Elephas maximus indicus: one gene and its partner. The protein of the gene in region 1 interacts with the protein of each later gene in a pairwise test. Links are inferred from orthologs where the notes say so. Each region holds a gene or a part of one and is shown in the gene's direction. Other genes may lie near its edges.

Region 1 (7,268 bases):
TCACCATATACTCCTTAACAGCCATTTACTCAGGACACTTACTGTCAAGGCGTCTTTGCAATGTTTAAAAATGTTTATTATAATATGTATGTGGTAAAATGTTAAAACAATGTAGAAGCCTGAAAAACTGAAGTCCTCATCCCCTTCCCAGAGGTTTTTGTTTATCCTTCAAGAGATGCCAACAGACACAGACTAAGGATGCCCTTTCCTTTCGAGCAGGTTACAGATTCAACTCACTACATATACGTGGCCAGAAAGACCAGGAAGATGGCAACACTCCCACTTGGAGAGGCCAGCTGGCCTTAGAGCTGCAGGGTACCCCTAGGTCAGAGTGAGAAGTCCCCTGTGCCCTTCTCCCTGCCACTCCCAGCTCTTCTGGAGACTAGGTGCTGCTTACCCATCGGGGCAGGGCAGGGCAGCGTCACCACCTCAGCATGGTCCTTTGTTTTTTATCCTCCATTATGCTGTTCCCCTTGCCATCCAAGGTGCCAGCCTGTGTCTGTTACTGTGTTGGTTTTTTTGAAGCCTAAGAATAATTACGTAGCATTCTTGAACTTGCTTTATTTTTTTTTTTTTTTTGGCTTTAAAGAACCGTTCCAGAGGCTAAAAGTCCAAATCAGGGTCCTGGTCGTGCCAGTTACTTCTTTGGACCTCTCTCCTAGTTTCTGGTGTCTGCCAGCAATCCTTGTTGTTCCTCTGATTGCAGACAAATCTTCATGTGGTGTTTTAGTCATCTAGTGCTGCCATAACAGAAATACCACAAGTGGATGACTTTAACAAAGAGAAATTTATTTTCTCAGTCTAGTAGGTTACAAGTCCAAATTCAGGGTGTCGGCTCCAGGGGAAGGCTTTCTTTCTCTGTCGGCTCTGGAAGGAAGGTCCTCGTCCTCAATCTTCCCCTGGTCGAGGAGCTTCTCAGGAACAGGGACCCCATGTCCAAAGGATGCGCTCTGCTCCTCGTGCTGTTTTCTTGGTGGTACGAGGTCCCCAACTCTCTGCTTGCTTCCCTTTCATCTCTTGAGAGATACAAGGTGGTACAGGCCACACCCCAGGGAAACTCCCTTCACCTTGGATCAAGGAGGTGACCTGACTAAGGGTAGTATTACAATCCCACCTTAATCCTCGTGACATAAAATTACAATCACAAAACGGAGGACAACCACACATGGCCTAACGAAGTTGATACACAGATTTTTGGGGGGATATAATTCAATCCATAGCCTGTTTGTCTATTCTGCTTTTTCTGTACCACTCAGAAATGATGTTTAGGACCCACCCTACTTTGGTATAGCTTCATTAACACAACAAACGAAAACTATTTCGAAACAGATCATATGTACAGGTACAGGGGTTAGAACTTCTGAATTTCTTTTGGGGGACAAAATTCAATCATAACATTAGTTTTTAGAATAGTAAAATGGTTAAGTGCTCAAGTGCCAGTGTCTGGCCAACAGTATTTGTATTTTGGCTCTACTACGCATGGCTCTGTGACCTTGAGCAGACAACTGACCAATCCTCTCTGATCCTCCCTGAGAAATGGGGAAAAGTTACTGTCAAGCTCAGTGCCTGGCACATACAGCTGCTTTACTTTTTGCATAACAGTGCACCTTGGAGACTACAGAGTTCTTTTTAATGACCATAGATGGTGTTTTACTGTGTAACTGTATTAACTCTTGATGATGATGTTAGTTGCTGACTCTGACACAGGGCAGCCTTATGTACAACAGAACAAAATGTTACCCGGCTCAGTATCATCATCACAATCACCATCATGTGTCAGTCCATCATTGTGGCTACTGTGACAGTCCATCTCACTGAGGGTCTCCCTTGCCCTCACTGGCCCTCTACTTCACCAAACATGATGTCTTCCTCTAGTAGTTGATCCCTCCTGATAATGTAGCCAAAGCAGGCGAGTCAAATAACGTGCTTTTCTGATCCATAAGGTTTCTATTCACTAATATTCAGAATTCGGAAGTAGATAACCGGGTCTTTCTTTCTAGTCTCTTAGTTGGGAAGCTCCACTGAAAAGTTCATGGGTGACCCTGCTGGTTTCTGAAATACTCGTTGGTATAACTTCCAGCAACACACAAGCCACCACAGCATGACAAACTGACATGATAATTTAATTCTCTATGATAGACATTAGTTTCGAGCAGCGCTTGGAATCAGTTTGGAACTGTTCAGTAATTGCCGACTTAAATGAGGGCATTGTTGCATAGCAACCAGGTCTCTTGCCTTGGATTTTGACCAAGTGCTCCACTCAGAGATGATGTCTAACAATGCTGCTTTGAATGTGTGTTGCTCTCTCCACAGTCCTGCCATTAATCCAGTCTCCTGCATGGGTCCCAAAATTTTCAGGAGCCTGATGCTTTTCTGTTAAAAGGTGATCTCAGGGAGTTTTGATTCAAGGTTTTGAAAAGCGTCTCAGGGCAATAGCCTCAAGGAGTCTTTTGGTCTCAGTGGTCCAGTTAATCTGGCCATTTTTATAAATTTGAATTTTGATCTGCCTTTTTCTCCCATTCAACCAGGATCATGTATTGTGACCCTGGTTGGGTAAGTCAGTGGTGGTAGCTGGGCACCATCTCGTTTTTCTGTTCTCAGGGTAGTTGAGGTCATGCTTGTGTAGGCAATTAGCCTTATAGACTTGTTTCCTCTCTGTGATTTTTGGTTACCTTCATATTCTTTGGCTCCTGACAAGTAGAGACCGATAGTTATATCTTAGATGGCTGCTTGCAGACTTTTAAGATCCCAGATACTACTCACTTCACTGGGATGCAGCACATGAACTTTGTGAACTATATTGTGCCAATTGATGGAGTTGTCCCATGAGACTAAGGTCCTCTTCCTACAAACTTAGAAAACCAATCCCACAAAGTGTTCAGTTATGTCCGAGAAGTATCAGTAATTATGTCTTCTTTCAATATATGTGCCTGCACACACATATCTGTACTCAACGTGTATAGATACTACGACCTGTGCACACTTACGTGCACACCTGTACCTACCCGTATACTTATTTGCCTATACTCATACATATGTAATCATATGCTGGTTTTGTGGTCATCTTTGTGTCTACAGTAATTACTTAAACTGGACCCACAGCTTTTTTTTTAAGCTATCATTTCTGAGAGCAGTATTAACCTTATCTTCTGTCTTCCCCTTGTGTGACAGGTGGGCATCAACTACCAGCCCCCCACCGTCGTCCCCGGGGGAGACCTGGCCAAGGTGCAGCGCGCCGTGTGCATGCTGAGCAACACCACGGCCATCGCCGAGGCCTGGGCTCGCCTCGACCACAAGTTCGACCTCATGTATGCCAAGCGCGCCTTTGTGCACTGGTACGTGGGGGAAGGCATGGAGGAAGGCGAGTTCTCGGAGGCCCGGGAGGACCTGGCGGCGCTGGAGAAGGATTATGAAGAGGTGGGCGTGGACTCCGTGGAAGCAGAGGCCGAGGAAGGGGAAGAATACTAGATGGAGTGTGGCTGGCAGCCATTTATTTGTATCTCCCCGACTGTAATTTACAGATTTATCTATTAAAATTTCTGTATTGAGGCGTCCCGTCTCTTGTGCTTCATTTTGACAAAATTCCCAATCCAGATACCTGGCTTTTCAAAGAGATTTCTAGAGGGGAAACATCCGTTTATTTCTTCTCAAAAGAACAAATTAAGCATGTCTGTGCACATTTAATTGGTAACTTACATTACCTCCAGAAAAGCCTCAAAAGGCTCGGTTGAGGGAATCGGAAAAATGCTTTACTCAAATAATATAAAGTCTTTAGCTCGCCATACTTGGTGTTCTCGGGACGGCAATCTGCCTTTTTCGCCCAAAGAGAGCTTTCTGAAATCATGGGATGACTCTGCACCCCGGCTTGGCGGCGTGGAGCCCGGTCCCGCCGCTTCTCCAGGGCAGCGCAGACCCAGGTCGGAAACGCCCATCCTTCCGGCCTCCCCGCGCTCCTGTCCGAGGCTGCCACCGGCGCCCTCCAGCCCATCACACTTCCCTGTAACTAGTGACGGCCGCCCGACGCACCGGCGTCCCTCTGCCTGAAGTCCCTGGCCGGTATCCCGGAGTAAGCTCTGAGCACTGGTGTCTGCCAGGGGGTTCCGGGCAAGCGTCCCGGCCGCTTCTCGTCATCGGGGTTTCTTCTGTGCAGTTAGGGACCCTCAGCTCCCGTGGGTGCCGGTGCAGTAGGCTGTGCGCCCCAGAGCTGGAAGGCAGCCGCCATCACGCGCCCCTCGGTCGGCGCCGGGCAACTCACAGATCCGCGCGGGCGCCGAAAAGACAGCACCGGGAGCGCGTTTGCCGCGCGGGCCTGGCCCACTCGCCAGCCAGCCACGCCCGCTTCCCGTCCCGCCCACAGCCGAGCGCCGCGCGCGTCCGCTCCTCCGTCTCTATGGTGCCAATTTCCGCCGCGCGCCACCCATCGCGAGACTTCGGCGGCGCAGCAATGGCGACACCGTGAGTGCAGCTGACAGGAGTTCAGAGGCCGGGCTGGGGCAAGATAGGGCCGGGGGAGCCCCGACAAGCCAGGGCCCCTGGAGCGGAGCGGCGGTTGGGGCGCGAGGCCCCTGCGGGCCCGGACAGACGCCCTTGCCCAAGCTCCTGCCTCTCCCCCAGATGCCGCGTCACTGTTCCGCCGCCGGCTGCTGCACACGGGACACGCGCGAAACGCGCAACCGCGGCATCTCCTTCCACAGGTCAGCGCGCGTGCGTGCTGCCGCGCGAAGGCTCGCGTGCGCATGCGCTGGGCTCGCGCGCCGCTCTGGGCGCCGGCTGCGCATGTGCCCCGGGCCTCCGTCAGGCGGGGGCGAGGCTTGAAGTCACCGGTGAGAGAGGGTGAGGGGGGCGGTGCCGGTGGGACCGCGATCTGTAAGGGAAGGAAGGGGCGGGAGGTGTGGGCCCACTGCTCCCTGACTCTCACCGCTAGGTGACGCTGAACCAGCTGCTGGCCTCCTCGAGGCTTCACTCCGTGCCCGGCGCTGTGCGCGGCGCCTGCCCTTTCTGCCCAGGGCCCCGGGCGGCATGAGCCCGCGCGGCCGGCGGCCCGGCGCTCAGGGGTGTGTGGCTCCGCAGACTTCCCAAGAAAGACAACCCGCGACGAGGCTTGTGGTTGGCCAACTGCCAGCGGCTGGACCCGAGCGGCCAGGGCCTGTGGGACCCGGCGTCCGAGTACATCTACTTCTGTTCCAAGCACTTCGAAGAGAATTGCTTCGAGCTGGTGGGAATCAGGTGGGCCTCCTCGCGGCCAGCGGGGTCGGGCGTGGGCTGTGGGTGTGGGAGAAGCCGGGCGGAGGGTGGCCGATGAGGAGGGCCCTGGCGCAGCGAATAAGGCGAGGCTCCGAGGGCGGTTCGGCCTCGTCCAGTTGTCTTCTAACTAATGAAGACGGGATCATCGGGCCAGTGACGCAGAGAAAAAATATTAGTCCTTCCAGAGACTGTTGTTTAGAACTTCAGTACTGTCAGCAAGCGCACAAATTAAAGAATCCCCTGTGCTGCTCACCCCGGCCCTGCTGGGGAGTCTCTCGCCACATTAGCTCCAAGGAGGCCTGCAGGGGGGAGATTGTCTCACTGCCGGCGCTTGCGCTCCCCAGGCTACCTATCGCAGTCTGCCTCCCTGCCTCCCCCAGGGTGCCCAGGGACCCTGCCCCGGGGTGCTGGCGGGGCACCCTGCCCAGGGCAGGTCCGCCTGTGGGGGCAGCATCTGCTCTCAGCTCATCCGGGCTGCTTTTCCCATAGCGGGTATCACAGGCTGAAGGAAGGGGCGGTCCCCACGATATTTGAGTCTTTCTCCAAGTTGCGTCGGACATGCAAGACTAAGGGGCGCAGTTACCCACCTGGTCCTCCTGAAGTCAGTCGGCTCCAGCGATGCAGGAAACGGTATGTGCTACAGGTGGGGGCAGCCCCGCTGCACTCCCTTACTGCAGTCTGAGGGCCTGGGATGTGGGGTGCCTGCTGGTGTTCTGAGAGCAGTGTCCTGAGCCCAGCTGTGTGTGGGGGCGCTCAGGTGGGCTAGTGAAATGAGGTCTGGCAGGGCCTTGGCCCAGCTTGTCAGGTTCTTTCTCTCCCTAGCTGCTCTGAAGGCCGTGGACCCACAACTCCATTTTCTCCTCCTCCACCTGCTGACATCCCCTGCTTTCCCGTAGAAGAGGCCTCAGCACCTGCGGCTTTGCCGACCTCTCCAGCTGGGAGGCTGGAGCCTGGCCTCAGCAGCCCCTTCTCAGACCTCCTGGGGCCCCTGGGCGCCCAGGCAGATGAAGCAGGCTGCAGCACCCAGCCTTCTCCGGAGTGCGAGCCGGAGCGGCAGCCCTCCCCTCTGGAGCCTCGGCCTGTCTCCCCCTCAGCGTACATGCTGCGCCTGCCACCCCCCGCGGGGGCCTACATCCAAAATGAGCACAGCTATCAGGTGGGCAGTGCCCTGCTCTGGAAGAGGCGGGCCGAGGCAGCCCTCGATGCCCTGGACAAGGCCCAGCGCCAGCTGCAGGCCTGCAAGCGACGGGAGCAGCGGCTACGGCTGCGCCTCACCAAGCTGCAGCAGGAGCGGGCGCGGGAGAAGCGGGCACAGGCTGACGCCCGCCAGACTCTGAAGGAGCACGTGCAGGACTTTGCCATGCAGCTGGGCAGCAGCTTGGCCTGAGGGATGGGCACTGGGCTCCAGCTGACAGAGAGGCAGTGCCAGCCTCCTCTCCCTCTGATTCTGCCCAAGAGGGACCCAAATGAACTGTGTCCACCAGACCTGACCAGATGCCATAATAAAACAGATGTGAGAATGAGGCCTGCTGTTTGGCTTCAATGGGGCTGGGGGACCCCCTTGAGTCTCAGGTTCATTCCCCAGGAAACGGCTACCAGGCAGTGGGCTAGAAGTCCTTGCAGCCCCCAGAAGGCACAGACCCTGGAGCCCAAGCTCTTGCCTGCCTGGACTAGAAACCCCATTCTCTTCCTGCAGTTCCTCCTCACGGCTGCACAGGTGGACAGGTAGCAGCCCACACCTGTCCAAGAGGCAGGGACTCCAGGGTGGGGCTCTGGTGCCTGTTGCCCACCCCCCCCCATGCCCCACAGAAGTCTCTGAGGGAACCCAGACAAACCTATTGCTATTGATTCCGACTTATAGTGACCCCATAGGGTTTCCAAGGTCGTAAACCTCTACGGAAGCAGACTACTGCTTTTCTCCTGCAGAGCCACTGGTGGTGTCAAACAGCCCAACTTGCAGTTGCCAGTCGATCACTTTAATCACTGCCACCAGAACTCCTTTCTGAAAGGATACAGTGGTGTAA
Region 2 (7,377 bases), on another chromosome or scaffold:
GAAGAAAACCCAACACTTTTTACTAACATATTTAAAAGATGTCTTTGGGTTTCTACCTAACCCTCTTTTCACAAATTCTCCATGGACGATCTCACCCACTTTCATGACCTCTATTACCACCTAGACTTGTAAACTCATAACTGCAGCCCTAACCTCTCTCCTGAGCTCCAGGCCAACCCATGTGTCAACTAACTGCTGGACATCTTGGACAAAAAAAAAAAAAAACAGTTACGTTGAGTTGAATTCAATTTATGGCAACCCCATGTGTGCAGAGAACTGCTCCGTAGGGTTTTAAAGGCTGTAACCTTTCAAAAGCAGATCACCAGGCTTTTCTTCTGAGATCCTCCAGGTGGGTTCAAACCACCAGCCTTTCAGAGTGGGGCACTTAGCCAACTGTACCACCCAGGGACTCCAGGCATCCCCACCAAAAAAAAAAAACCAAATCCGTTGCCATTTAGTCGATTCTGACTCATAACGACCCTATAGGTCAGAGTAGAACTGCCCCATATGGTTTACAAGGAGCGGCTGGTGGATTCTAACTGCTGACCTTTCAGTTAACAGCTGTAGCTCTTAACCATTACACCACCAGAGCTCCCAAGGACATTTCCACAGGCCCCTCCAATTCATGACTCTGGCTGAAATCATCTCCTCCCACTCCCAGACCTCTTCTTAGGTTTCCTTCCTTGTTGAATCATATCAGGCCAAACAGCTGGGCGTTAGCCTTGGTTCCTCCTTCTCTGTCCAGTCCCCAGGCCAGGTCTGTTTGCTCACCACTATATTCTTCACAGGGGGCTCTGGTGGCACAATGGTTAAAGTGCTCAGCTCTAACCAAAAGGTCAGCGGTTCAAACCCAACAACAGCTCAGAGAAAATACCTGGCCATCTGCTCCGATAAATATTCACAGCCTAGGAAACCCTATGGGGGCAGCTCTACTCTGTCCCAGAGTCGCTCTGAGTGAAAATCAACTGAGCAGCACACAATAACATATTCTCTACACTACACACAATGGTTAGCACATAGTGTTGTTGCAGGGTATAGTGTAGAGAATATGTTGTTAGGTGCCATCGAGTCGATTTTGGACTCATAGTGACCCCATGTGACAGAACAGAACTGCCCCATAGGATTTTCTAAGCTGTGTCTTTACGGAAGGAACCCTGGTGGCACGGTGGTTAAGTGCTTGGCTGCCAACTGAAATGTCAGCAGTTTGAACCCACCAAAGACTCCACAGGAGAAAAGACCTGGCGATTTGCTCCCACTAAGATTTATAGCCTGGGAAACCCTATGGGGCAGTTCTGCTCAGTCCTATAAGGCCACTGTGAGTCAGGATTGACTGGATGGCATACAATAATTTTTTTTAATTGCATTTTAAGTGAAAGTTTATAATCCAAGTCAGTTTCTCATACAAAAACTTATACACACGTTGTTATATGACCCTACTTGCTCTCCCTACAATACGACAGCACACTCCTTCTCTCCACCCTGTATTTCCCATGTTCATCCAACCCAGTCATGTCCCCCCGCCTTCTCATCTCGCCTCAAGACAGGAACTGCCCACATAGTCTCATGTGTCTACTTGAGCTAAGAAGCACAATCCCTACCAGTGTCATTTTATGTCTTATAGTCCAGTCTAATCTTTGTCTGAAGAGTTGGCTACGGGAATGGTTTTAGTTTTGGGCTAACAGAGAGTCTGGTATCCATGACCTCTGGGGTCCCTCCAGTCTCAGTCAGACCATTATATCTGGTCTTTTTACTAGAATTTGAGGTCTGTATCCCACTTTTCTTGGCACACAAAAATTTTTCCAGGAGCAGATCTGCTAGGCCTTTTTCCTGAGGAGCCATTAGGTGGGTTGGAGCTGCCAACCTTTTGGTTAGCAGCCAAGCATTTAACTGTTGCACCACCAGGCCTCTTAGCACATTGTAGGCTCTCCATAATATTTGTTGAAATAACTTATTTGTTCTTTTAACAAATATTTATTTAATTAATTTTTTTTTATTTTGCTTTAAGTGAAAGTTTACAAATCAAGTCAGTCTCTCATACAAAAACTTGTAAACCACCTTGCTATATACTCCCAACTGCTCTCCCCCTAATGAGACACCACACTCCTCCTCTCCACCCTGTATTTCCTGTGTCCATTCAACCTGATCCTGTCCCCCTCTGCCTTCTTTTCTTCCCTGCAGACAGAAGCTGCCCACATAGTCTCATGTGTCTACTTGAGCCAAGAAGCTCATTCCTCACCAGTATCATTTTCTGTCTTATGGTCCAGTCCTATCCCTGTCTAAGGAAACCCTGGTGGCATAGTGGTTAAGTGCTATGGCTGCTAACCAAAGGGTCGGCAGTTCTAATCCGCCAGATGCTCCTTGGAAGCTCTATGGGGCAGTTCTACTCTGTCCTATAGGGTCGCTATGAGTCAGAATCGACTCGACGGCACTGGGTTTTGGTTTATCCCTGTCTGAAGAGTTGGCTTTGGGAATGGTTCCGGTTTGGGGCACACAGAAGGTCTGGGGACCATGACCTCTGGGGTCCCTTTAATTTCAGCCAGACCGTTAAGTCTGCTCTTTTTACAAGAATTTGAGGTCAGCATCCACTGTTCTCCTGCTCCCCCAGGGATTCCCTGTTGTGTTCCCTGTCAGGGCAGTCATTGGTTGTAGCTGGGTACCATTTAATTCTTCTGGTCTCAGGCTGATGTAGTCTCTGGTTTATGTGGCTCTTTCCGTCTCTTTGGCTTATTTTTACCTTGTGTCTTCAGTGTTCTTCATTCTCCTTTGCTCCAGGTAGGTTGAGACCAATTGGTGCATCTTAGATGGCCACTTGCTAGCGTTTAACGCCCTAGAGGCCCCTTACCAAAGTGGGATGCAGAACATTTTCCTGATACATTTTATTATGCCAATTAACCTAGATGTCCCCCGAAAACATGGTCCCCAGGGCCCTGTCCCTGCTACTCTGCCCTTTTGAAGTGTTCAGTTATATTCAGGAAACCTCTTTGCTTTTGGTTTAGTCTAGTTGTGCTGACCTCTCCTACATAACTAATATTTATTGAATGCCACCGTAAATAAATGAATGTAACCAGTCACCAAGTCCTGTCAATCTTACATCCTAAAGAGCCCCATTCTGGTCTGATTCTTTCCAATCTCACAACCAGTCTGCTAGTCCAGGCTGTTTCAGTTTCTCATCTTTTAACTGGCCTCCTGGACACCAGATTTTTACCCCTTCAATCCTTTTTCCTTGTGAAATCCAGAGTAAGCTTTCAAAACTACAAATGTTTTTTGTCAATCTTTGACTTAAAGCCCTTCCATGGATGAAGAGACACTGTCTAAAGAACAGTGTTACTTAAAATCACAAAGGTAACCATTAGATGAACTAAAAATAGTGATAGAAGTATAAAGGACCATTGGAGGAAGGGAAATAGAGAGTATAAGTTATATCCATATTTATAATAGGAAGTCAGTAGACAATGTTTAAAATCAAATAGTAATAGTATAAGCCTACTGTTTAGAATTATGGGTTAAACACCAGGAAAAGAAAAACAACAACAACTGAAAGTGGTTGCCTATGGGGTATTGGACTAGAGGTGGGAAAGGAAAGCAGGAGTAATATTTTCATTGTAAATCCTTTTATAACCATAGACTGGAATTTCTTGGTTTAAACTAAAAAAACCAAGCCAAATTAAAAAAAAAAAAAAAGTTTTTAGTGGCTCTTCATTGCCCATAGAATAAAACATAACCTTGCTACTCAAAGTGTGGTCTGTGAACCAGTGGCATGGCCAACACCTGAGAGCTGGTTAGAAATACAAAATCTCAGGCCTCACCACTTACAGAACAAGATTCATAGAAGATTCATATGCACAATCAAATTTAAGAAGACGGATTTACAAGAGCCAGCATAATTTGGCCCATGTGGACCTCTCCAGCTTCAGCACTGTTTGCTTCCTCACTGGCCGGGAGGGCTTTCATTTCTGCTCCTTCTCTCTTGAGTTCTAGCCACGGGGCTAGTATTGGAGTGTGTGTTCCAGTGACTAGCTAAATCTAGACAGTTTTAGACCCAGCTCCTCTGCTCCAGGAAGCCTTCCAAAATCCTCTGCAGCCCTCTGCTACCGCTGTCCTTTAACCTTCCACATCCCCGACTGAGAATGCTTAGCCTTGATTCAGCACGCATTTATTGCGCGCCTGCTGTGTCCCTGGCTGGATTCAGTGCCCGAGTAGGGAGAAGACGTGGAGTTCTCCTAGGTACCCTTTCAGGTACAAATCCAGTATCGGCCAGCTCGACACATTCCAGGGCTAGAGGTTGTGTGCGCAGCACTCGAATATATACCTAGATTTGCGCAGCTTTTCTGAGTGTTACGGCACCTTCCTCCCGCCCCCCGCGCCGCGCGGGCGGGGACCCACCCGGTCGGCTCCGCATAGGCGCGGGAGACTGGCGGTCCCTTGGGAACAAGACCCCGGCGTCCGGTCTCCAGCACTGCTCAGGCTTGGGTCCGGATGGAAGGGGCCGCGGAGTCCCAGAAGCCTGACCTGCGAGACGTGGAGGGCAAGGTGGGCAGGAAGACCCCTGAAGGGCTGCTACGCGGGCTGCGAGGCGAATGGGAGCCAGGGACCCCTGGCGCCCTGCTGCTCCCGGGGGCAGCTAGCACGGGCCATGGCCTGGGGGACAAGATCATGGCGCTGAGGATAGAGCTGGTGAGTGTCGGCTCCACGGGCCAGGGGGTCGGAGTATCCTGTGTAGGGCCGGAAAGGACTGATTGATGCCCCCAGAGTTGGGCTGGAGAGGAGCGAGTTAAAACCCCTCACCTACCCCTCAGGACCCCACCCAAGTCTTTTCACAAACCCTGAGGCAGAGGTGGATTGATCTCCATTAATTGCCCCCGCAAGGGTAAGTGGGGTGTTAATGGGTCCTGAGGACTTGGGGTGGGAGGCACAGACTCTAGGAAGTTATCCTGTCAAATAAATGGGAGTGGGAAAATGAAGTCTGAGAAGCTACTGAGAACCTAAAAAAAAAAAACAAAAACCCACTGTCACAGTGACTCATAGTGACTCTAGGACAGAGTAGAACTGACCGATAGAGTTTCCAAAGAGCGCCTGGTGGATTCGAACTGCGGACCTCTTGGTTTACGGCCGTAGCACTTAACCACTACCCACCAGGGTTTCCACTGAGAACCTACGAGAGCACAAATCCACACAGGGACCACCTGTTTCCACCTCAGCCCCCTTTATAGGACATCCAGTTTTTTTTCTCCCTCTCCAAACTGGGAGCTTCTTGAGGACTGGGAAGGGGTTTGGTTCATCTGAGGCTCCAGTATTGAGGACAGGATTCAGCACCGAAGAGATCTGGGTGAGGGCATATCTGCTGAAAACTGCCTGGACCAGGAGCACTAAAAACATTCTCCCTCCCTTTGCCCAATGTCCCCACTTCCCCCTTTCCCGCTTGAAATATTTGAAAGTTCCTAGAACCATGACAGACACAGAGTAGGAGCACCATCAGTGTCTGTTCCCTCACCTCTGACTCAGTCTCCTACCCCAAGGTACACTGGATACTTGGATCCCATCTGTGTCTCCCTGGGGAGAAGATGAGGAAACAGGCACCCTCATCCCTGGTGCTGCTGGTCTAGATTCAGAGCCAAAAGGGCAGCTACCCGCTTCCCCCCACTCCTCACAGACTCCCCAGGGTCCTGGTTCCTGAGCAGGTGGTGATTTACACCTGCCATCACTTTGCAGCTAGTTTTAGGGATCTGAGAAATTGCTGGCCAGTCCCTGGCCCAGAACCAGGAGCCCACAGTGAGTGTGTCAGCTAAAAAGTCTTCCTGGAGCCCCACTGTGTGCCAGGCTGTGCTGTGAGGGATGGAGGGAGGAGATCACAGGGCTCCCAGACCAGTTAGGGTTCTTACCTCCTGAGAGGATAGGAGAGCCTTGTGGGCGGAGCAGTCAGGGAAGGCTCCCTGGGGGAAGGACCTGAATGCCAAGGGTGCACTTGGCCTTGAAGGTTGACTCTGCTAACCTGAGGCGCAGGGTGGCTGGGGGTTGGGGAGGGCTGGCTTTGCCTTATCCTACAAATAAAAGTTAACTTTCAGTGAGTGCATGTGCCAGGAATCATGCAATACTTTACGAGATATTATCTTAATCCCCACAGCATTCCTATTACATAAGCGATATTTTATGGATGAAGAATCTGAGGCACCGAGAGGTGAAATAACTGCCCAAGGTCATACAAAAAGTAAACAACAGAGCCAAGATTTGAACCCAGGTGGTCTGACTACACTTTACATCTTAACATTGAGACCTGCCTTGTGTCACATGCTTTAAACACATTGTCATTGAAGTGAGAAAGGTAGTCATCATTTTCCCTGTCACACAGCTATGGAAACTCTCTTGGAGATATTAAGCAGCTTGCCTGAGCTCAGGCAGGAAGTCAGCAGGGGAGCCATGCCTAATCACTCTTTTCTGCCTGTATTGGAGACTACTGTCCATGAACTTGAAAGGAGGTACATTTAACTTTTGATTTGTCTCTCTGTATTCTTAACTTTGCCTGGCCAGAGGCTGGAGGGAGGGAGTCTTCTGAGGGCCAGAACAGGGAGAGGCTCCTTATAGACACCCACAAATCCCTACCCCAATCCTTTCTCCCTCCTCAGGCCAGGGTGTCATTGATCCCTTCATGCACTCTGCCGTGACCACTGGCTTGGGCTCAGGGAGGACAAGGGGTGGGGCAGAGGGATTTCCCTTGGAGCCACTGGTGGCAGGACTGGTCCAAGTCCTGTAAGGACTGTCCTTCAACTGACCCCTTCCCAGCTGTCCTTACAGGGAGGAGCAGGCCTGCCTTTGAGGCCAAGGTCAGCTCTGCCTCTTCCCTCATGCCTCCCATCTCTATTCAAGGGTTGAGAGAACCAGCTGAAGTCTGGGTTATGTGGGAAGGAGAAACAATGGCAACATCCCCTTGGTCCTCCCACCCAAAGAACTGTTTCCAGGACAACCCACCCCCACAGAGCAGCTTGAGGAAAAGCTTTTAGGCCAGGAAGGTGAAGACATGGGTTTGAGATCTGGCTCTGCTCCTGAATTCTTTTGTGGTCTTGAGCAGGACCCTGTCTTTCTTCTTCCAGCCTCAGTTTTCTGCCTCTGGGAATAGGGGGTGGGATTTTGGAACTAGGTACTCTCTAAAGGCCCTTCTAGTAACAATGATCTGAGAATCTCAGTCCACAACCAGGATGCTGGGAGTGGGATCTCCAGGCTTTTACCCTAGAGTCTGATTTGGATGGAGCAATGAGGTAGCCATATCCCGTTATCCCAGGGCTGAGTAGAGAGTCTAATGTGTACATGTTGAGGGGAGGGGGTAGGGTGATTCAGAGAAGAAACCTGAATCCCCCTTGGAAAAGAATCAAGTTGGGGTGGCCT

The links.
Region 2: the proteins of THAP7 (region 1) and LURAP1 interact in a two-hybrid assay, tested with the Homo sapiens proteins (2 studies listed by BioGRID and IntAct). The two-hybrid records come from large-scale screens. The link is inferred for Elephas maximus indicus from reciprocal best matches to the Homo sapiens genes THAP7 and LURAP1.

What each region holds. Positions count from the first base shown.
Region 1 is NC_064840.1:21,509,983-21,517,250, reverse strand, and holds THAP7 (THAP domain-containing protein 7), read left to right. Parts: upstream 1-4,409; 5' UTR 4,410-4,455; intron 4,456-4,614; coding exon 4,615-4,694; intron 4,695-5,070; coding exon 5,071-5,226; intron 5,227-5,733; coding exon 5,734-5,874; exon of another isoform or gene 5,875-5,981; intron 5,982-6,066; coding exon 6,067-6,631; 3' UTR 6,632-6,768; downstream 6,769-7,268. Other genes in the region: tubulin alpha-3 chain-like, read left to right, coding at 3,172-3,468. UniProt on the Homo sapiens protein: Chromatin-associated, histone tail-binding protein that represses transcription via recruitment of HDAC3 and nuclear hormone receptor corepressors.
Region 2 is NC_064821.1:88,831,754-88,839,130, forward strand, and holds the start of LURAP1 (leucine rich adaptor protein 1), read left to right. Parts: upstream 1-4,373; 5' UTR 4,374-4,476; coding exon 4,477-4,674; intron 4,675-7,377. UniProt on the Homo sapiens protein: Acts as an activator of the canonical NF-kappa-B pathway and drive the production of pro-inflammatory cytokines. Promotes the antigen (Ag)-presenting and priming function of dendritic cells via the canonical NF-kappa-B pathway.